Linked DNA regions of Drosophila melanogaster. The protein of the gene in region 3 interacts with the protein of the main gene of each other region in a pairwise test. Each region holds a gene or a part of one and is shown on either strand. Other genes may lie near its edges.

Region 1 (7,451 bases), on a different chromosome or scaffold from region 3:
TGTGCATTATCTCGCATTTTCTGAAAGGGATGGCTACCCTTTGCTTCTTTCGCATTTGATGATTTCACATTTCGACGTGTATGATTCGAACGTTCTAATTCGAACTTGTCCTTTGTCAGCTGTCTATATTTCAAGTCCTTTAGGGCAGATTTAAGTGTTGCATTCTTTTTCGTTAAATTGAAACCCAAAGTGAGTTGCTTTCGGAAAAAGTTCCGCTCCTTAAAAGTGAAGTTCTCAACGTCCGTGGAGAGCTGTTGTTTTCTTTCCGTGGAGGGCTTCTCATCGTTGAAGGGCTCCCATGTAGTATCCTGCGACCGGTTGGCTTCTATGACATTTCGACGGTGGTTCTTCTGACGCTGCTGCATGAACTGCCTTGCGTCCTCGCTGTCCACATCCTGGTGTCCCCGGTCCGAAGAATCCGTAATTATGTCGTTCTTCACATGCTGCCAGGGCGTCGCAGTAGCTTGTGGAACGAGCGCTGGTTTCGGTTGGACATACTTCTTTGGCTTGAACTTGGTTTTGCCCCAGTCCTTGGTGCGGCTCTGCAATTGACGTTCATGGCGATCATTATCTTCTGTTTTCTTCGGATTGGTAGAATTCATAGCGTTGTTATTTGTGGTTAAACTGAATATCGTCCATCTGACCATCTGAGGTGCCAGTTTGAGAAACTATCGAATCTAGCTATATATGTTAAATCTTATAAAAACCTTCCATTGGTCACTTCACATTTTAGTCCATTACATGTATTATGTCACATATTGTCACAGTATTATATATATATATTATATTATATATAAGGTATTCAAACTTAATATACATATAATGAATAGCAGTTTTGGCTTGAAAGAAGCCACTTCGGCAGTCCCACCAACAATCGGATCTTATCGATAACCCCAATCGGCTCAACACGTGCGCCGCAACTAGGCGGTTTTATAAATATTAACAATTCCATAATGCACAACAGTGGAGGACAATCCGGCTGGAACCTTTCAGGAGAGGAAAGAAAACCGTTTTCGAATTACGGCCGCAACAATCAGCAGAGGCGCAGCAGTGGAGGCGGGGGAAGAGGCAGCCACAGCCAAAATCGCGCCGCCAATGGAAACTGGCCAGACGCTGGATCGGAAGGTGGGCAGAATGGAAACGCGTTTAACAAGTTCAGAGATCCCCAACAGGAGCTGGATAATCATCAGCCAAACAAGAGAGGGGGCCGAAGAAATAGAGGCGGTGGCGGAGGAGGTGGTGGTTGGGGTGGCAGGCGAGGGAACCGCGGCAGAGATTCCAATAGGCGTGGTGGCCGTAACAACTCGTGGCAACCTAAGGATCAGCATGTTAGTCCTGGCCAAAGTAACATGCTGTACTTCGATAATGTGGGGGACTTTACCGAAGACCCACCTCTGCCTCGATCCTCGCCTGCTCCCTCCTCTCTCAGACAGGAGAGCCTGCCACCTGTTACTTTCGCTGCGGACTTGACGCCACCACCACCTGTATCTGTTGCACCACCTGATGTGGCTGTTACGCCAGAAGAACCTACTGTGCCGCTAATCAATATCAAGAAGGAGAAAGAAATGGAGCACAAGTCAAAAATAAAGCAATTTGTCAAAGCGGAGCCCAAATCTCCTAAAAAGAAGAAGGTTAACTCCTCTAGGTCGTCATCTACTTCGGGAGAGGAGTCTGAACCCGAACCAGGGGAAATGGTAGTCAACACTAAGGCAGTGGTGGTGCCGTCCCCAAAAGCGAAGGCCATCAAAACACCTGTAGCATCAACTCCGAAACCAAAGGCTGTAAAACCAGTTTCGTCCTCCGACTCCTCAACTTCGGACAGCGACACCGATGATGAACAGAGTCATCCGCCGGCAAAGAGTAAAAAGATGGAAAAGAACACCGAGGAGGATGTTGTCTGCATGGGCTCTCAGGAGCGCCAGTTTACCATTACCGATGAGGAGGAAAGCACCGAACCTGAAGACGACAAGAAGGCCAGAAAGCAAAAAAACAAGGGTAAAACCGTGGATGTGTGTGGCATATGCGACAAGAAGGTAAATATTTTAAAAGAATGTTACCCAATTTAAAAAAATCTCTTCCAGGGCCACACCTCCTTCCAGTGTCAGATGATATGTCGTAATTGCTCCGGTAGTTATCATGGTCTCAAAAACTGTCCAAACCCGCCCAATCTAAATATTGCCATCCAGTCGTTTGTGGAGTTTGCCATGCAGCAAATGACTGCCTTTCATTGCGAGCAAGGATTTGGATTTCCTGCTGGCACAGTCACAGCTCCAGTTTCAGCAAAACCCAAAAAGGACAAAAAGGCGTCAATAAAAAAGATAAAGAAGTCTTCACAGAAAAGGATGAAGGTGGAGCCGAAAGATCATGACGAAGAAGATGACGAGGAAGATGACGACGAAGATGAAGATGACAGCAGCGAGAGCGATGACTCGGAGTCCAGCGAAGAGCCTCACCCAGCTCCTGTGTCCAAACAGAAGCGGAAACGAGGCACCAAAGCCTCCGTATCGGCCGCAGCCAGTCTACCTCCTCAAGTGTTTCCATTTCCCCTTCTAGGCGCCCCGGGCGCCCCTTTTAACTCCATGATGTATTCTTATAGAGCTCCGTTTAATTTTTCTAAATAGTTATAGCGTGAGTTAGTTGTAAAGGAACGTGAAAGATAAATACATTTTCAATACCAATGGATTTAGTTCTTTCATTTTAATATTTACGGAATTTAGGAATTACGCCTCTGTTGTTTAAAACGAGAATGAAGTTGAATTAATTTTTGTACAATACATACCGGGGAATAATATCGATAACCAGGGCAGACCTATTTATCGAAATGTATCAGCCGACGCAGCCCTGGTTTTGTGTTTTGCCAGCTGTTGCTTCCACGCTTTTGAATAAAAAATCAAATTAATAGTGTTTACTAGGAAAAACGTATGAAACTCAGTGAAAAAACTTTGCAAAAAACTTTTGGGTAAGTGTATTTACCTAAATTTATTGGTTTTCTACGATTAAATCTCAAGAGCTTTGAGTTTTTAACTAAAGGATCCAGGTGTCTGATTTTTAAAGTTATACTCAACTTATTTATAAGGAAGCATTTTAAACGATAAAAGAAAACATAGTACATAAATTTAGGACATCATATTGAAAATGAATATTCCTGGACTCTGAAGTATGTAAGTGCCTCGGAAACGAAATATACAAGTAATTTTTAGGGCTACTTCCCGCCAGAGCTAAGGCATCCTGCTTTAAGATCAATTTTCCTTGCCCTGTCTGCTTGACAGGATCCTAGGGTATGCAGAGAGCCAGGGTCTCGCGTTCCTGCTCGGTGCCGCAGGACACTGGGTGATTCTGGCCCCGGGGATCGATGCCTGGCTTGAGCATCGTCTGCTGCAGCTCCCAGATGATTTCACACGACTGGACGCTCACGGCCAGCTTAAGCACCGACTGATAGTTGAGCGGATTAACCGCATAGCTGAGGATACCCCTGGCAATCTGCTCGAACAAATAGTTCCTGTCAAGCAGAAGGAGCTCCTCTCGTACCTCCATCATACGGTTTTCAAAGTGGCACTGAATCGCTGCAAATACCAGCTTGTCCAGACCCACCAATAGATCCCGCTTAAACTTCACCAGGTAGTGCTCTATGAACACGATCTGGTTGCGATTTAGATGCGGCAGGCGCACCTTGTCCTGTATTACCTGTTCGCCGATCTGGCTGACAACCAGAGAGGCTAATGATCCCGCCGGAGTGGCCCGACGTTCGCTGCACGGGCGGACGTCCACGAACGGATGAATCTCGTAGCTGCCCACGCCAATGGTGCTGGCTACACCGCTAAATGATACATGGGAGGCGCGCGAGTGGTTTTTCGGCTGTTTGGCCATCGACGGAGGCACTTCCATGGCTTTGTGGTCTCTGGCGAATCCAATGATCTGATAAGCTTTCTGCAGGCGGAATGAATTAGTGGTATGTCAAGAGGGACTGCTATTAACACTTACGTAGTGCACATATTTCTTTGCATCGCAGACAAAATCCTTAATGCGCGAGATCAGCACCTGCAAGGCACACTCATCCTCGCTGAGATCGTCGTTTAAACCAGAAATTATGTAGTCCAGTATATATTGTGCCGCCTTATAGATGGGGTCGTCTGGTGCGAAGCTGAGAGCGGTCTGACCCTCCATGGCAATGGCTGCATTCAAGGCGTAACAAAGATCACTGTCTAACAATCCCTCAAAGGTGGCCTGATACTCATCGCAGAATGATGGCTTGCGTTCCTGAAGTGTCGACTTCTTCTTCTTGCGGCGCTTTCTTTTGGGCTGACGAGCAGTGATGGCCTTTTGAGCTCTTTCCTTAATCTCGTCCTGAATCCGTTGCCACTTTTCTCTGTAATGAGCCTTGTGCCTGTCTATAAACGCCTCTCGCTCTTTTTCCACCTCCTGCAGGAGGTATTCGATCCTACGCTGATTAGCAATTCGCTCATCAAGTCGCTTCCTCCACGACTGAATCTGGTGCTCAGTGTTCTTTACCAGCCGTTGTTTCCTCAGGATTCGCATGTTTTTGTTGAACCGATCCTTTTTGAACTGGAAGAGCTTCTTCTGTTTGATCAATAGCTTTCTCATCAAATCCTGGCACATGCTTATGTGGGCAGCTACACGCATGTTTGTCAGCATCTTGCGGTGCTCCAGCAACATATTCTGCATGGTGGCCAGGTTCTCTAAGCGCTTAAACTTCTCATATGTGATATTCAGCAGATGGACCTTTCTTTCGTGGCGTTCCTGCTCCTGTAGTTTCTTTCTGGCAAGAACCTCCTCAGTGCACTGGTGACGGGCTGCGAGATTCTGGTGATCCTTTTTTGTGATGGACTCCGCGTTGGCGATCAGCATTCGATCATATTGCTCCGACTCGCGCCGCTTGTATGCCTGCAAAATGTAGTACAACTGCGATTTGTGCAGCTCCTGGCGATGCTGATTGAAGTCCTTCAGATTGCATATTACATCGTTGTCCTGCGTTATCTCACCGTTTTCCCTCAACCGCTTCAGATTACGCTCATTGGAGTAGAACGTCTTTAGGTTGGAGTCGTGTAGCGGATTGTACTCCGGGATGTGTTCGGTAACGGAACACTCAAACTCCTGTTTACCGCTCTTGAACTGGTGGATATGTATGAATGATGATGATAAAGTAAGGTTCTAGCTGATTTTCTACTGGTAGCACTTACGTCCTGTCCGATCTTGTTCTTGGAGAATATGACCTGATTGCCGGGACATTTGAGCATTGGCAGCTTGCAATTAAGAGGGATCAGCTCCCATCCGGGTAGACTGTTGATGGGTAGTCCAGTCTTGTAGGAGATCATCTTTAGCAGGGCCGGGTTTCCGGACACCTTATTTCGCCGCGGCAGCGACAAAATATCGATCATCTTGTCGCTCTAAACTTACAGTAGCCTAAATTATTTGTGCTTAACATTTACTCTCTGAGCGTTCCAAGAAAACTAATTTCGAACAGTGCCTTATGAAAATGTAGTAGCCCCGCCTACTTTAACAATATTCTATACTTTTTCCCTGCCGATTGTATATTGACTTTAGTCAATAGTTTGCAATATAAAATATATATATTCTTAAGCAGTCTCAACAACCGTTTTATAGCTATCTGCATGAATCTGTGGTCCCATCCTAAGAGGCCGAATCGGGATCGAAGCTGTCATTACCCTGGCTCCAGCAGATTCCAGGGCGTTAGTTCGGCTTACATAAATCCTCGGTTGACTATCCTCCTCAATATTTCGCTGTCTCTATCCGGGCTTATGTTCCACCCGCTTTTTCCGACCGCTGACCCAGTTTGGCGTCCGTGGATGATTCTAGATGCGGGCATCTCGGGCATAAATATTTACCAATCGTTCGGTCCGGCGCCAACATGTCTGCGTAGGGCTTTCCTTGGAAAAGAACACCCACTCTCACTAGCCGTCTTCCATGTAAATAAAATCACATCAAGTGCTGAAATGTACTTGCTGCAGCACGTGCTCCAAATATTCTCTCGAGTGTACTTTCCATTTCATCTAACACCTAGGACACCCCTCTTACTTTCCGACCCCGCTGCCGATGGAATAAATAAAAAATGATGGTGGCATCCGAAAACAGGCAAACTTATGCTGGAAAATGAAAGGTGCGTGCCAATCGCTAGCGGTCGTCTGTGTTCCTATTTCCATTTAGCGTTTCAAAATAGTTACTTCCTCCTGTGATATGGGTCCCTAGGGATGGCTGCGTGAGTCATTCGGCTAAATGGCTAGTTAGTTTTGGGAATCAAAAGTAGTGCTTTAACTTTTATTGAGACAACGTTTATAGACATGTGGTACACACAATGATAATATAATAAGTGGCAGGCTGTTTACCACATTCGTTGAATGCAACTAAGCAGACAGTTATTAACAATATGTCTTGGCCACATATCAATTCAGGCCTTTGACTTGTAACGTAAATTCTGATATAGAATTTTAAGTAAATTGAGTGTGGGTGCCCTTTTTCTTAAAACCCCCTTGGTGGGCCAATGAAAATCCTCTCCCGCTAATAATTTTCCTATGACTTACAATACCGGCAAAACCGCACACAGCTGTCCTCAACTCTCCCTTTCACCCTCCTCTGGTTGCTTGCCACTATAGATTGAAAAGCGTCGTCGTTCAACTGGTAGGCTTTTTGTTTTCAATCAGACGAAGCTTTCGGTTCGGTGTTTGAGAGCGACTTCGAACCACGGGAGAGAAATTGAGCTTAGAACACTAGCTTACATAGTTCACTGTTTTTTAAACCCATCTGTTTCTGTTTGACAACAGAAAAAAGCAACTCCGTTGCTTTAGCAATGCGAAATGGTCGTCAAACCTGGTCGAACATAAGGGAGCACTGAAAAAAATTCTACTTGAAAATGTAAATGTAATATATTATATAAAACTTATACGAATTTATGGAATTCAGCATTATATATAAAGAAGTACGTTTCACTACAGTTTCCACTATCAGTTTTGCACTTAATGTCGTTATTTTTCTGAGTGCTGCAGCACCGTTCGTTTTAAATCAACGATACGAGCTTCCAAGTTGGTTACTCTGTGCGGAGTTGTTTCGTTTGGTCGCGTCGGTCGAAGGAGTCGGTTGTTCGTTTTCGTGCGCTCAAGTAACGGTAAGCGCGAATGCCTTCGCCAGTTCTACTGTTATTTTACCTCGGGACGGCTATGCGTCCCTGCGTCCCTGCGCTTTCCTGTCTCTGTGTATGTGTGGGAGACAAACAAATAGCAAAACGAGAAGGAAAACCATAGAGAGGAATTCCGCAAAAAGGGGGGTGGCGAACATCCTGTTTTTCTGCGCCCGCTGCCAGAGTAACCACCCCCTCTCAGGGACGACAACAACAAAGTGGACTTAAGCGAAAAACGAAAATAAATATACGTACGAACCTATAACTGCGCCATTTGTACTTCGCAACAACAAATGAAAAT
Region 2 (5,877 bases), on a different chromosome or scaffold from region 3:
AAATTTTAAGTATATACCATCAAATTGCTCTCGAAGAAGATCTCGTTAACATAGGGAGTAATGATCTGGGTAGTATGGCCGTTTTCGCGGGTGATTCACTTGCGTCCACCTGCTGTTGCAAGCAGCCAAGTAGACAATTGCGTTGGGTCTATGGAGCGCATGGAGTGGGTGGGAAACGTTTGCCAACAGGCTGCGCTATTGCTGATCCATTGTTGGCCTGGCTTAATAACGAAACAGAAGTATAAAACAAAAAAAAAAAACAAAAAAGCCAAATCAAACGCTCTTCATGAGCGGCGGGAACTGCGCTTTACTTGACGTGTAATGTCTGCTATTTGGAGCAGAAACACTAATGGTCATTAAGCACACTGGTAAACCCGCTTTCCACATCCAATCCCCAGCTCCGCGTCCCAGCCTGGCCAACGGCTTCAACTTCTTTAATCGGAACTTCTGGAGTTTCGGCCAGCAGAGTCTGGTGGCAGTGCGTCCGCCCACCAAGCAGGCCCATCCGCCGAAAAAGTTTAGTCCCAAGGACGAAAAGTCCGGCCAACGAAAAGTGGCCAAGACCACTAGGAAACCGATGGATCAGAGAACGAGTACAACTAGTCGAAGCGCAACAACAACTAGCACACAAAAACCCACTACAGATGGACCCTTTCGCATTGCACTGCCCACCTTGAACTTCCCACGCGACAACCAGGATAAGAACAGGGATAGGGAAACGGAGAAGGGCAAGAGGTCGGCTGCCGAGCTGCGCTTGAGGTTCGATTGTCCGCGGGAGAACGAGGTGAGGTTCCAGCTATTCCCCAAGATCTGCAAGGCGGATCGAGACTGTGCCGTGTGGCAACGGGATGAGCTGTGCTGTGATATCTTTGGAGCAAGCAGCTGTGTCTCTGGCGTTCCAAAGCCGCTAGAGGAGACTCCACATGCTCGTAAGTGGGTTTAATCCTTAGCTGCTATAGATATTATTCAATTTATTGCTCTTGCTAGCCATTCTGGGCTTGATACCTCGCAAGTGCCCGAGTAGACCGCTCGCCGAGCTCTGGTGGGACGTCCAGGAGTGCTCCACAGACATGGACTGCTGGCCAAGGGTCTGTTGCCCGGATGGGCGTAGGAGATACTGCCGCACCTCGCAGCCGGAGTTGGAAACAGCTCCAGTGCCAGTGAAGCGATCCTTCGACTATCGTAAGTTAAAAGTTTTCCGTATGATAACCGAAATCAATCGAAGCCTTGCGCTTTTCCAGTTACAGAGTACCTGGAGTGCACAGCCCCGCCGCCGCCCATCTTTGACCTTCATCCCAAGGCGTGCACCTCCACCTTGGATTGCTTTCCGAATGTGTGCTGCCAGGAGGCGGGACTGCGCCACTGCCGGCCGCCCAAGAAGTCCGTGCTCACACTGATGGCCAACTTTCTCAACGTGGACTTCGTGAAGCGACTGGCACAGAATATCGTTATCAAGTAGGGCGAACCGTGAATTTCCCACTATTTTTCAACGTGCGTCGAGCACCTTCGACAGAACCATTTCGAAACCGCCGTGAAATCTCGCCCGGGTTTGTTTGGCCACGCTGATAACCAAAAAGAAGATATGCCCACACCCATACCATTCATAGACATACATATGTATGCACCTTTGTATACTGCGCACCCCATCCATTCGTAATTCTCCATTAAGTATTGTTCACCTAGCCTAGTATTAGACCTAAGCTGCATTCGTAGGCTAGCAAAGTAAATAAAGTATATATGTATGTATACGAACCATAAACTCCATCTGCGGCTTTTCCACTGGAGGTCTGAGGTGGAGGTCTCCCGTAACCCTACGCCTCCTAGGTCACTTCACCCGACTGCCGTGGGGTTCTTGTTCTTGACTTATTTCGTTGGTATATCGTTTATATGCCGGGTTCTTACACTTTCATGTTAATTGCGCGATCATATTACATCTAAAACTATATGGCACTTTTGCGCTATAAACGAGGCATTTCACAAAACAGACTGAGCAATAATAAGTCTACAATCATATATTTCTATGAATCACCTATAAAATAATGGAAGCCGATTTAAATATGAACTTTCATTACCCATTTCGTTGTTATGCCTAAAATCGTTTTAAATTTGATAGGGTAATATATTTTTATTATTTCTAAAGCTAGTATTCTTTAATATTATCCATTCGATAGCGGCTATATTCTAACGCCCGCAACTGTATTTTTATCTACAAGTCATGAGTTCAAGCCGCTGTGCTTTGAAACTCAATCCCTCAGTCGCTTCAGAAGTGAGGCATCTCAGATTACCATATTGCTCAACTGACTTTAGTGTTATGTACATATGTATATGCACATTGTGGAAAACACTTGACCATCCCATTTCCACGACGCATATTGCCGACCACGTAGCTAGAAGCTACCTCCAATAAAAGCGAATCTAACCTAGAATGCCGCAGACCAATTGATTATGCAACCCGAAAAGACGCAGTTAGGCATCAATTACTTTAATTGGACATTTATTGCAGGGTGTGTAGAGAGACAAGATGCAGCGCCTCTACTCCAGATCTTTTTTGGGGGAAAGCTCACTCGGAGCAGCCGCAGGCGGATTTCTTGTCGCCGCCGCACTTGCAGTCAGATCCGCAGTTGCAGGATCCCTTGGTGGCCTGGCTGGCGCATTTGCATCCTGGAAAGAAGTAGAATTTAAAAATTAGTACATGCTGGTACATCCTGTAATCCATAAGCCATATAACATTAGTGTTCCATTTTATAAAACGCAGTTGAAGAACTTCTTTTCTTAGAGAGACGAACTCAGAGATTTCACTTTGCAGATAGTTTCAGCTTGAATTTTTATACTATTGAATCACCATTGAATTTTTATACTAGTATAATACCATTTCTCTGAAAGATCTGTGATATCCTAAAGGATCACACCAGACTGCGAACTTACCGCTTCCGCATGGGCAAGGCATCTTGATTGAGTTGTATTTCCTCGAACTTGTTCACTTGTTTACAAAAAAGGTAGGTATGGGCTATTTAGGCCTTTAGTTGCACTGAGATGATTCACTTGATTTTGCTGCTGACCACAACTGATGCACATTGGCCAGATGCTCTCGGTTTTATACATTTTGGAAACGCGGCTTTACACACGGGTCTTTCGTTCGATTCACCTCTTTTGCACACGCCGGCCGGCTCCAAATTCGAGTGGAGACGTGTGCAGAAGCTTTTGTTCTGCCCGCGAAGAATTGGTTCGGTTCTCCACTTTGGGGACTTGTATGGGATGCAAAGCTCTTGGTGGGGCACATGGGGCATGCGCAGGCACTCTTACTTGCGTACCACATATGTATGGGGGTGGCGGTGGGCGGTGGGGGGCCGGAGTTCTGGGTCTCTTATCGGAACCAGAGGATAGGACGGCCTGCAGCAAAGAGCTAGTCACATCGGGCACCACATCCTGTCCTGCAACGAATTCCAGTGCAACGAAATGCAAGTAAATACTGCTACGCAATAGTTGGGACTCCCACAGATCCTTTGGGGCCATCCCAATTAACGGGTATATGGATGCGGTGGCCATTACTGGCTTTTCCCTCGATTCTCGCGTGTGGGTGGCAAGTGCAGTGCAGATAAAATCGATAAATCCAAGCCAAAATAAAGCGAGGAAAATCCAAGAGCAAAGCGCGTGAGGTGTACGAGGTGGAAAAAAAAACACATACAAAACAACGAGTGTGCGGGAAAACAAAACGTCGGAAAATCGCAAGGCGAGTCGGTTGAAGGGGGCGGGCCAAAGGTGTCACACGGGTCCACCAGGACAATCAAGCGGAAGTGAGCAGTTACGGCTAGTGTGTATTGTGTGTGTGTGTGTGTGTTTGGGGGCGGATGGGATAGAAAACCGTTCCGAATGGGACACTTGTCTTCAAAGCAGGCCTATTTATACCGCACCCGGTCATGGGCAATCATAATCGTGGCGATAATGATGAGGAGAGGCTGGTGCCGATCAGTGCCAGTGGAGCGAAAAATCAATACCCTTCCTTGCCACATGTCTAAAATTAGCGGGATACTCTCACACACATTGTTTGCCGTTATTAAATATACTATTAAAAAGGAGTTCTATCAACTTTGATAAGGAAGTTGTAAGTCAACCAAGGAGTTATGCGGGTTTATATAATAGAATCATATATAATATAATCAACTCATTATCAATTTAAAAGGTTCTTAGAGTTTTTTAGTGTAAAGGAATATACATTTTAAAACCAATTCAACTAATAAAGTGTGTTAACATGCCTACTAGTGTATATCACCATCGGCTTTCGGAAGTTAACTTTCTTTCGCATTTTGTTTTTGTTGCGGGACCCTAAAGTGGTAGTGCCACCCACGCCCACGCCCATCACGTCCCTACCACCCACATCCACCAACTGGCGAACCGGAAAGGTTGTGCGTGCGTGGGCGTTGTGGCCAAGCTGATTTGCTCTTAATTGTTGCAGATAAACGAAAGCATGGCGCCCAAGTAGAACATTCCACCAGCGCCCGACAGCAAGCCAACAAGCTTCAGCTCCTGCTTCTCTCTATTCCGATTTCCACTCCGAGTTTGATATACGCGACCGCGTTCGACCCACTCGAATCCGTATCGGTAACCGGGATGACGGAGCAGAAGAATCAGGTGACGCGCGCTGCACCGGAGCAGAGCAACGATTACCGCGTGGTGGTTTTTGGAGCCGGCGGCGTGGGCAAGAGCTCACTGGTGCTGCGCTTCATAAAGGGCACGTTCCGCGAAAGCTACATCCCAACAATCGAGGATACGTACAGACAGGTGGGTGGGACGCCTGGTGCTAGAGATTACTCACATAATCCGCTGGTCTTCGCACAGGTCATAAGCTGCAACAAGAACATCTGCACGCTGCAAATCACGGACACCACGGGATCGCATCAATTCCCGGCTATGCAGAGGCTGTCCATCTCGAAGGGGCACGCCTTCATCCTGGTCTACTCGGTGTGCTCCAAGCAGAGTCTGGAGGAGCTGCGACCCATCTGGGCGCTTATCAAGGAGCTGAAGGTTGGTCCACTGCCTGACAATCATTTCTCATGTACTAATACGTTGTGTGTCCACAGGGCGCCGACATTCCCAACATACCCGTAATGTTGGTGGGCAACAAGTGTGATGAGACCGCCGAGTTGCGAGAGGTTAGAGGATGTTCCATCTGATCCGTCATATACATACATGCTTAATCTAAGATCTAAGTTACAATCTTCAAGGGGGATTTTAAACAGAAAAATCATCTCTTTAAGAAAACCTCTAATCCAAATGTGCCATCCACAGGTCTCCCAAGCGGAGGGTCAGGCCCAGGCGACCACCTGGAGCATATCGTTCATGGAGACGTCGGCCAAGACGAACCACAATGTGACCGAGCTGTTTCAGGAGCTGCTCAACATGGAGAAGACGCGCACCGTCTCCCTGCAACTGGACACCAAGAAGCAGAAGAAGCAGAAGAAGGAGAAGAAGTCCAAGGACACGAACGGCTCGATACCGGAGAACGGCGATGCGGGGGCCAGCGCCAGCGGCGGGGCCAAGGAGAAGTGTCGCGTTATGTAAGCATCGGATGGCCAAAGAGCCAGATGGCCAGATGGCATGGCCATGTGACCCGGGTCACATTGCGTCGAGCTGAAGTGAACGGAGACGACGGTGACAGACAAATACTCGCCTTGGGGCAGCACCCTTGGGTGGGGGGTTGCTGGCTTAGGTAGCCACCCACACGGGCCACGCCACACCACACCACACCACGCACCGCACACACCACTTACACCATACCACATACCACACACAATCCCCACTTTATCCACATATAGAGTTACATGCATAACGAGACACTTGTATTTAGGAACTGACTGGATAAGTCGCACCACGATTGCA
Region 3 (10,534 bases):
ATCCACACGGATGGCGGTCGTCTGTGCCGCCCCTATGTAATTGTGGAGAACCGTCGCCCGCTGGTGAAGCAGCATCACCTGGACGAGCTGAATCGAGGGATTCGTAAGTTCGACGACTTTCTCTTGGACGGACTAATCGAGTATTTAGATGTGAACGAGGAGAACGATTCGTTTATCGCCTGGAACGAGGATCAAATAGAGGACCGGACTACACACTTGGAAATCGAACCCTTCACTTTGCTGGGAGTTTGTGCTGGATTGGTGCCCTATCCTCATCACAATCAGAGTCCCAGGAACACCTATCAGTGTGCTATGGGTAAGCAGGCGATGGGAATGATTGGCTATAACCAGAAGAACAGGATTGACTCGCTGATGTATAATCTGGTGTATCCCCATGCTCCTATGGTGAAATCCAAGACTATCGAGCTTACCAACTTTGACAAATTGCCTGCTGGTCAGAATGCCACTGTGGCAGTTATGAGTTACTCTGGCTACGACATCGAAGATGCGCTGATCTTAAACAAGGCGTCGATAGATCGGGGATATGGACGCTGTCTGGTGTACAAAAACTCAAAGTGCACTGTGAAACGGTATGCGAATCAAACCTTCGACAGAATCATGGGTCCCATGAAAGATGCGCTGACGAACAAGGTTATCTTCAAGCACGACGTTCTGGACACTGACGGAATTGTGGCTCCAGGCGAGCAGGTTCAAAACAAACAGATCATGATTAACAAGGAAATGCCCGCGGTAACATCGATGAATCCGCTGCAGGGTCAGTCTGCACAGGTTCCCTACACCGCAGTACCCATTAGCTATAAGGGTCCCGAGCCCAGTTACATCGAACGCGTTATGGTTTCCGCCAATGCCGAGGAAGACTTTCTCATCAAGATCCTGCTGCGCCAGACACGTATCCCCGAGATCGGGGACAAGTTCAGCTCTCGGCACGGACAAAAAGGCGTGACTGGGTTGATTGTTGAACAGGAGGATATGCCCTTTAATGACTTCGGCATCTGCCCGGATATGATAATGAACCCACACGGATTCCCCTCCCGTATGACAGTGGGTAAAACGTTAGAGCTGCTCGGCGGGAAGGCTGGTCTCCTGGAGGGCAAGTTCCACTATGGAACTGCGTTCGGGGGCTCCAAGGTGGAAGACATTCAGGCGGAACTGGAGCGCCATGGTTTCAACTACGTGGGCAAGGACTTTTTCTACTCCGGCATCACAGGAACACCACTGGAGGCCTACATCTACTCGGGACCCGTGTACTACCAAAAACTGAAGCATATGGTGCAGGATAAGATGCATGCCCGTGCCCGGGGACCCAAGGCGGTGCTCACCCGTCAGCCGACGCAGGGCAGGAGTCGTGAGGGTGGCCTTCGTCTGGGCGAAATGGAACGGGATTGTCTCATTTCTTACGGAGCTAGTATGCTGATCATGGAGCGTCTGATGATCTCATCGGATGCCTTTGAGGTGGATGTTTGCCGGACTTGCGGCAGGATGGCCTACTGCTCCTGGTGTCATTTCTGCCAGTCGTCGGCCAATGTCTCTAAGATATCCATGCCGTATGCATGCAAACTGCTCTTCCAGGAGTTGACCAGCATGAATGTGGTGCCGAAAATGATTTTGGAAAACTATTAACGATGCAATGGCCTGAAACCGAATAAAATAATTGTTATATAATAATAATGGTTAATGATGGAAACTAGCTTAGGTTTTCCAATATTTTTGTAAAAACGAATGGTGTGTGAACTCTGGCAAGGGCAAAAATCCTACGCATTCATTAAGTTTCCATGACCGCGAGCTGCAAATGTCAAAATGAAGAGGTTCAAACGAAGTCAGCGAAAGAAAGTCCTCTTGAATTTTAACGAGGTCCTTTTGCATATCAGCTTTCTGTTCGTTAACAGGCAGACGCAAGCTGTTACTGAAAAGGACTGAGCCGTGTTAAATCGCTTATGTTATCCTTTTTTTTTATTGCGCAAAGGATAATTAGTTGTGTCTGCCCTTTTGGCCGAATTTAAAACGTCTGTGTCTGGACAAAAGATTAAGTTGTTAAGATGAAATGTTTTTTGTTATTCTGTTTCTTTGTTTGCTCTTTGTCCTTATAATCCTCTATCTTATGTGTATTTTGTTTTTTGGCTCAGTTAAACTAAACATTCTCGAGCGGCTTGATGCTTCTTAGTAAAACCAATATCGCCAGGCGTTGATTTATTGTTTTCCCTCGATATTGCCTATTGCCTGATTGCCCGTGAGGCAATTACCTGTCACCTGGCTTCGAGGTGGAGCTCAACCCAGATTCCGGCCGATGTGTCAACGTGTCCGTGGTCAATGCACCGCGGTGCATGCACGTGACCTGCGAACTGCAGGCGACACAGCCACCCACACAAGCCAATGTCCTTGTGCGTCCTTTCGAGTGACCTGCGCTTAAAATAGTCACAGCTACCACCCACTGCTGCTTCTCCTCCGCAGGACACGTAGAAGTTACTATGTGCAGTGCAATGACAGCAAACGGGGCAAACTGCCAGCAGCAGAAGCAGCATCAGCATCCGAGGAACCAATGGTGCGCACTAGGATGACAATTTAAGGCTGCCCCATCTCTGATCTCCCCCATACTTGCATGCCCACCTCTTTTCCGGGCTATTCAGTACCGTTTTATACGTGGAAAAACTTTTGAGAATTATATAAAGTTAGTTGATATTCGTATGACTAAAAGAAAACTACTCATTCCTATTTATACCTACATACCTTTATCCTTTATGGAATCCATTTGCTCAATTAGGCGCTGATAAGTATGCAATAAGTTATAGTTTTTATTAGTTTTTAGTATCATAACAGAATCTTTATTTTTCGCCGTGCACAAACTGATGAGAACCCAATCTGGGGCCACCTTCCGGCTTTGGCTTTCCTTTCATGTATTTTGGCCATTTGTCAAAAGTTTGCTTTTTGCTCTTCTTATCTGGACGGTTCGTTGATGTGTGCATGGCAATAGATGTATATAGATTTAAATGGGTGTTGGCCACTTGTGTAGAAAGTTAAGCGTAGTCCAACTGCTCTTTTGGCCGGGTTCCAAGCGGGCGAGGGGATTTCGAATTGACAACACCGGATATCATTGGGCTGATAATGCGCAACCCCTCCCAATGGACTAATTGAATCCGAAAGCACCTTCCGATGGAAATAGAGATTAGATTGCTGGAATCACCTTAACTTTTCAGCCAGGATTGTTCCAGCAAACTCTTTGTGTTTTCTAGGGACTAGGCCACAGCCAAATGTTAACATATTCAGCGAGAGAGAACGTGTTTTTGACTATGTTTGTTTTCTCTTTGTAAGCTTTATGTTTCAATATATTTAAAATTCTAATCTGTTTAGTGTTTTCTTTTAGAAGCACATTATTACCTATTTTACAAAAAATTGATACAATATTAATTAATTAAATAACCAAAATCTACAGGGAATAATTTATAAAAAAAAAAATATAAAAAAAAAAAGTGTTAGGCTTCAAAAATATGTTTACTTATCATGATTAAAAAGAAACATGGCCAATAGGACATAAAACAAATATTATTTGAACCTATCAGTTAACATTCATTTAAAAGCGAGCACTCGCAGTTCGAACTCAACATCTGTTAGAAGCCCTTTCTCTGCGTATAAAAGGCAGTGCTTTTGAGCAAAACGCGCTCATTTCAAAACCGGTGCTCATCGCAACGAAAGCTCCGCTGCGGAGCCGAGAAAATATTGTTAATTCCCATTTGAAGTGCAGCTTGTGGAAGGAAATTCCAAGTTTGTTTGTTCGGACGCCGAGTGCAAGTGCAAGAAGCAAGCGAAAAGTAATCAAATCTATAGAAAAGTCATTTAATGTGGAGCAATTAAGCCTGGAAATAAAGTGCATAGTGAATAAGTAATTTAGTTGGAGCAAACAAAGCCATGGAGACTGCAGCGAACTCGGGCGACTCCAAAAAGCCTTTCAAAGTGAGTTCCCCCTGTAATTGTAAATGGAAATAAAGGCCGCAGACGAACAATTGCATTTTAAGTGCATGCATTATTTTCCTGGCATGTCCATTTTTGGGCGTTGTTGTTTTCGCCTTTGTTGTTGTTGGCCGCGTGCTGCGTTCGCTACTTTTTTTCCTTTTTTTTTGGATTCTTATGGAAACTGGGTTGAACTTCAGAACTCAAGAGAGCCAAAAGCTCAAGCTAAGAGAGTGCCGAAAGCTCAGTAATAAGCATTAACTGCCTGAAATTTGACTTTGCAAATTCAAAAACACTATTTAGTTGCTTTCTTTCTCTTTGTCCTTTTTTTTACATGTTTGTCTAGCTTTGCATTTGCCTTTTGATTCGAGTATTGGGAATTGTTTGCCTTTAGCATTTGTTTTACTTGACTGCTGGGCCATTGTTTCCTGTTTAATTTGTTTATCTGCCGCTTAAACAGCAGAAAGCTGTTTAAAGTATTATGGGGATGTAAAAAACGTGCTTAAGGTTGCAGAAAACCACTGGAAGTACATGCAGCTGACAACTCAAAGGAAACCAATAAACCACAAAGCTATTTAAATTGTCTGTGAAACACAGAAAACAACTTTCGTAAAACATGACTGGAGATAACATCCAGGAATTCCCTCCCCCACTTTATCCATTAAAATGCCGCTCCTTATTAAAATATTTAATTCAAAAACCACCAAACGCAAATCGGCTTAAAAGCTGTCAAATACCATGACAGCCATGAAAATGCCATTAAAAAGGGAAAACTTTTCATCCCGACATGTCGCTGTAATTAGCCAACAGCCACGCCCACGACCCGCCTCAGGCATTTTGTTAATAATTTATTAAACAATCTACATAATGCCGCGGCATAGTTCAAAAGCAATTTAAAGTTGTCGCCTAATTTCCCCAGCGACTCGAAAATCTGCGGCCTACGCCCATCAAATATTAAAATGTCCTGCGACTTGTGGATTCTGCCCGCATCTTGGATGCAGATGATAGAGTTCCTGGCACGTCTCCTTCGGCTGCTCCTAAAACGGAGCCAGACGCCGGAGGTCGTTGCACGTTCATCTACGTACGTATGTGTGGACCAGGACCCTCGGGTCCTGATGGCTGAGCAGCTCGAGTTAGTTGAGATTTATAAGCCCTCAACTCGCTGCTGCTCTACCAATTTGCCCAAGTCGTTTTGCATACACTTTTGTGTATAAACTGGTCTTCTAGAAAAACACTTAACTGATTTCATCTAGACTTTCACATACATTAGCCTGAACTTGTAGTGATGCTAGTTTGGAAATTTGTATCTTAAACAGTAGCAAGTAGGTAACATTTGTGTTTGCTCATTTCAATATTTAAATATTATTCTTATATTTAAATATTAAAAAATAAAGTTTTACTTACCACGATGTGCCAAAAATTTGCTCTTAATGATATAACCTAATAGCATTTCCATTCAAGAAACAACTTGAAACACTTTTGAAACATGTTTACTTTCCGAATAAATCTTGTTTCTGATTTGTATAAGCTTTGTATAATTTTGCGGGTAATTAGATAAACTGCTAATTGAATTGCGACCGCTTGAAAAATCGACGCCACTTGAAAAATCAACTAATGCGATCGACTAAAACTTTTGACAAGTTTCCGAACAAAAACTATGCTTTTGTTTTCGATGCTGCCGCGACTCCCACTTGTCAAATGCGCCAGTAGTTGGGCAAAGTTTTCATTGTTACAAAGTTCTAGCCCCACACGCCGCATTCATGATATGATTAATATTTGGAGCTTTCGCGGCACAAAAGTTATGTGGCTTTAAGTATTTATAAGATAATTTAGGGACGACCTCCTCCGCTATCTGAGCAAATGGAATTGGGATGATAGAGCAGCTAGGCGCACGAGTAAAATGAAATGTTCGAAATGCAAACTCGAGTACAATTTCATTTAGTCACGGTGCTCTCAAATATTCATGAAGGACCTCAAGGAGTTGCACGCTGTCCGACGTTTCGGGGCTATAAATTCTGGGTGGAATGCATTCGTGCCGCTTGCTCCCTTAAAGTTGCGCCTCCTTGAGCCTCCATCTGGACGGGTCTAATTTATGTTTCGTTTAACCTTAGTGCTGAGGCATCATTTAACATCGCATGCAAGTTTAATAGAGCCAAAGGCTTGCGTCCTTCGTCCTTGCAACCGGCGAACAGCACTAACCTATGGCATTCGCGAAGGAGCATGCAGCATGAAGAATGCTGACATGCATAACTTGTCAAATAAAAAGAAAATTTAAAAGGATACGCCAGGGAATCGGGGAGTGGGAGATAAACGACAAATATTTGCACCGCAGCTGCTAGAGTGCATGTCAAACTGCGTTCGAGATCTCGAGCAAAAGTAGAGGAGCTCATGGAACTCGGCATTCGCAACTGAAATATGCACAAAGTCGTCGGGCTGTGGGAGGCACTTTAAGGTGGTGACATCCCCCACCGGGAAAAAGCCGTCCATAAATCTCAATTAGAGCAAATGGACATTTGACAGCAGGACATGACGTGGTCGCAAATATTGCGTTCATTTATTCATTGCGATTTTTCGGGGAATGGAAAACAATCAGCGTCGAAATGTGGTTGTGTATTTATTATTTAGCAACTTGCGCTACTATTTATCTTTTCTCTTTGTTTAATGGAATTTTCAAAGATTGCCTAATTAAATAACTATAAAAACAGGGTAAAGTTTGCGTTGAAAAGAGAAACAGACTGAATAATTAAGTGCAAGCGGGAGGATAATGAATAAATCAGGCGGAAAGTTTCCATAGTTTCTCCATTCCGTTCACGTTGTTGTCTCAAGAAAAAGGGTGCAGCTAAAGGAAAATTTACAACTTTTCCCATTTCGATGTTTTTCCGTTTTCTTATTTTGGGTGCCGACGATGTGAATATTTTATAGGACCTCAGTTGTTTCCCATCTGACATTAATTTATTATTCATTTGATGAGCGGGGCCATGTGTAACTGCTACTGTCTCCGTAATTGCAAACGTGTAATGGTTTATTATTCCCTTTTCCCGGCACTGTCCTTCTGCGTTTTTATGGCCAGGTCAAGGACGTAACACGCAACATTAAGAAGGCTGTCTGCGCCTCCAGTCTGGAGGAGATCCGCAGCAAGGTGGCGGAGAAGTTCGAGAAGTGCGACCACCTGCCCACCATCCACCTGGACTCCGACGGCACGGAGATCGATGATGAGGAGTACTTTCGCACCCTCGACGAGAATACGGAACTGGTGGCCGTCTTTCCCGGAGAACATTGGATCGATGTGAGTAGCCCTTAAATAAAAGGAAAAGGAAAACAGGCACTTAAAAATAATTATATCAGCACCTTTTTTATTTAAATCACCTCAATAAATTCGTTTTGCGATTGTGTAATTTTCATTTCTCAAAGTGAACACCGCTTAATTGGATAGCTCATTTTATGTGTCCCTCCTTTTATCTGCCATAATGACTAATTGCATTATTTCTTGAATGCCATGAAAGAGCTCCATGAGCATGGGACCAAAGCCAGGAAGATTAAATTAAATGCTATCTGCACTCTGTTTATAGCCCACTCACTACGTGACGATAACCACTCCACATGGCAACGAGGCAGGAACTGGAAACGGAGAGCTGAACGGAGGAGGCGAGGGCGACACCACCGATGCCAACAACTCGGAGTCGGCTCGCATCCGCCAGTTGGTGGGCCAGCTGCAGAACAACCTCTGCAACGTGTCCGTGATGAACGATGCCGATCTGGACTCACTCTCCAACATGGATCCCAACTCGTTGGTGGACATCACGGGAAAGGAGTTTATGGAGCAGCTCAAGGATGCGGGAAGGTGAGTTTAATTCCTTTCCCATATACCACTTAATTGTAGCATGATTTCATGACTTTAGGCCATTGTGTGCCAAGCGGAATGCCGAGGATCGTTTAAATCTGCTGAAGCTATTGAAAGCTGGTGCCATTTTCTGCTCGGAACGTTATCCCGAGGATGCGGAGGCCATTGACCGGGAGATTGGACGGCAGTTGAACGAGGCGGAGAGTGGACAGATGAGCACCACAACGACGAGCAACACCCGCACCATCGAGGTGGTGCAGTGCGACAATCAAAACACGACGATAACAATTACGGTGGGCGAGGCCACCACCACTTGCGCCACAGCCAGTGGAGCGATGGGATCCTCCGCTGCCGAAGCGGCTGCCAATGAGGCCAATGCCAATCCAAATAGAAATCCAAATGCCAACGGCGACATCTGACTGCCCATTTTGGGCAGTCTTAGGTAAAGTCTGCCGGCGGAAAACTAACGCAACTGGGTGCGCCAATCAAAATCAAGAGCCAAAAGGATATACCGAAGACATCAGTCCTGCAACATTGGGTTAACATAAATCGTATTTGTAGCATGTAATTAGGCACTGCGAAATCAGCAAAAACGAAACGGAGACGAAATCAAGTCATTGAAAATGCTTCATAGTATCTAAGAGCAAATGAAAGTTAACGAACAATACACGTACTAGATTTAAACACCGGGTCACGAGGCTCAAGAGAACAAGAGGCCCGCGCAGATTTGAAAAGTCTTTTAGCAATCACAGTCAGCGGAATCGTATTTAACCGCATATACACGAGTCACACCAAGCCGTACTAGATGAATAATAATCAAAGGTTAGCGAAATAAGTATTATACTTGAGGTAGAATCCCACAACCAGAGCGAACCCCAATTGGATGGAGTTGTCCCAGGAAACTGTTGATTTGCTTACCGTGTAAATTGTGTTACGAATAGTAGGTAGAGTGGAAACGCACATCAAATATTGTTTTTAGACCAATGCCATTGTGAATGTCATTCGTTAAAGGCCAATTGAGACTGACTGAATTTATGTGTAATAGGTTTTTTCGTGGTTTGAGCGGTTCGGGAAAGATCGGATGGAAGCCTCCAGCGCTGCTGCCCTGTCCTCCCAGAATCCCCGTCTTCCCGCCCCCGAATCCATAGCCAAATGAATTTAAGCGACAGCGCAAACATTGTTAGCTAATTAAACAATAATGGAACACAATAACGCAAATTGCAATTGCCCAATCAAAGTTGGTAACTGTAACTGTCTACAATTCGAATAAGCAATAAGGGAAACCGTAAACGTAAACGAAATCTAAAACCGAATGCAAACAGTGAACAATTATTAAATATAGTGAAAAGCATACAGTAAATGCAAGTGAAAACCCCGAGGCAAACTATATACACGAAACCAAGTAATAAATAAATGATTATTAAACTAAAGTTGATTGAACTAGCATAACTGGCAAACGGGGCGTATGCGCAACGCACAAAGCGTGTGCAACAGGGCGTATGGACTGCATCCTGCTCTTCCGCTGGCAAAAGAGAGTTTCCCCTTCCTTCACCGCTTCTTCCATTTCCCTTTTTTCCAGTTCGAGAGAGCAAGAGAGTGGGAGTCCTACACCTGCTGCTGCCATATAATTGCATTACTCGACGCCATTCTCTTTTGCCATTCAACTTCCTTCGTGACGTCACTGCACCATGACGTTTGCAGGTCCTGGCTAGCTGATTGCGATGGCCTACTAACACAGTTCAAAGCTCCCGGGTGACCCAAATTCGTGACGACAGCGCCCCACAGCAAGGGTCTCTTTGTGGGCGTGGCCCTGGCTTTGATGAATTGAATCCAGCGTCCTGTGGCCTTTGCATACTCAATATCCCCTACTAACACAGCACATCCCTTTTTCGGTTCCCATTCCTTGGCTGCTCTTTTAATTTGCGCCCTCGACGATTTTCATCCTGCTGGCAGGGGAAAAAAGAAAAATCATGGGGCGAAAAGTGCCCAAAAATATTAAAAATGTAACTGAAAATCGCTTTGACTGCTTTTGATGTGTATGATGGCATTTACGGTGGGCTGCCTGGCCAAGAAATTGTCACACACACTTGAGTTTGTAATTCTTTTGATGTTGTCCTGCAGATTAAGAGGAAGTGCCGGAAGAGGAAATGGAAACTTAATCGAAAGCAATCTGAGCTTCGAGCGAACCGATTTTGGTCCTTTGAATAAAAAAAGACTCTTATTGAAAATTATTCAGTAGTCAGGCATTTTATTTAACAAGTCTAGTACGAATAATTTAGATAAAAAGTTATACAATTAGTTAGAAAATTACGTTCAAGTAAAAATCTTAAGACTTCATTTCAAGTAAATTTTGTACGTTTGTTTCCTAAACGTAGACAACAATTTTTAACACGGTAATTTCGAACGCTTCATAGGTTGCTTGCGGTAAGCACCACCAAGTACTTTTCTGGACGAGATCCGTTTCACCTTGAACAATCGACCATCTATCTCGGCACATGAGAAAAACTTGGTGCGGGCCGGAAAATAGATCGTGACAGTTCCGCACTTGGTACAGTTCACAGCGCGATCTCCGTAAAGAGTGCTTTTCCGTTTATGGATCCTTGCCCTTTTCCTTTTTTTCACTGATCTCGATGCTTTGCATTCTGGCTGCTTATATTTATGTTCCCGATTTAAAATCCTCGAACTACTGCAGCGCTGGGACTCTTGAACCTCTTTGGTTTCTTTCACATT

The links. The genes of interacting proteins can lie anywhere in the genome.
Region 1: the proteins of Drep1 (region 3) and Dus1 interact in a two-hybrid assay, tested with the Drosophila melanogaster proteins (one large-scale study listed by BioGRID).
Region 2: the proteins of Drep1 (region 3) and MtnA interact in a two-hybrid assay, tested with the Drosophila melanogaster proteins (one large-scale study listed by BioGRID).

What each region holds. Positions count from the first base shown.
Region 1 is NT_033779.5:267,137-274,587, reverse strand, and holds the start of Dus1 (dihydrouridine synthase 1), read left to right. Parts: upstream 1-2,843; 5' UTR 2,844-2,959; intron 2,960-2,961; exon of another isoform or gene 2,962-3,273; coding exon of another isoform or gene 3,274-3,927; intron 3,928-3,981; coding exon of another isoform or gene 3,982-5,130; intron 5,131-5,198; coding exon of another isoform or gene 5,199-5,396; exon of another isoform or gene 5,397-5,500; intron 5,501-7,082; exon of another isoform or gene 7,083-7,451. Other genes in the region: CG11555 (uncharacterized protein), read right to left, coding at 1-602; mbm (mushroom body miniature), read left to right, coding at 954-2,033, 2,082-2,621; CG3345 (uncharacterized protein), read right to left, coding at 3,274-3,927, 3,982-5,130, 5,199-5,396.
Region 2 is NT_033777.3:9,781,299-9,787,175, forward strand, and holds MtnA (metallothionein A), read right to left. Parts: upstream 3,073-5,877; 5' UTR 2,948-3,072; coding exon 2,926-2,947; intron 2,662-2,925; coding exon 2,561-2,661; 3' UTR 2,109-2,560; downstream 1-2,108. Other genes in the region: CG12947 (uncharacterized protein), read left to right, coding at 399-929, 988-1,182, 1,242-1,459; CG8500 (uncharacterized protein), read left to right, coding at 4,609-4,779, 4,837-5,022, 5,079-5,150, 5,287-5,559. UniProt on the Drosophila melanogaster protein: This protein binds cations of several transition elements. It is thought to be involved in detoxification processes.
Region 3 is NT_033778.4:12,040,943-12,051,476, forward strand, and holds Drep1 (DNA fragmentation factor-related protein 1), read left to right. Parts: upstream 1-3,669; 5' UTR 3,670-3,921; coding exon 3,922-3,966; intron 3,967-7,033; coding exon 7,034-7,249; intron 7,250-7,532; coding exon 7,533-7,804; intron 7,805-7,862; coding exon 7,863-8,223; coding exon of another isoform or gene 8,224-8,250; 3' UTR 8,251-9,230; downstream 9,231-10,534. Other genes in the region: Polr3B (RNA polymerase III subunit B), read left to right, coding at 1-1,641; CG30039 (uncharacterized protein), read right to left, coding at 10,190-10,534.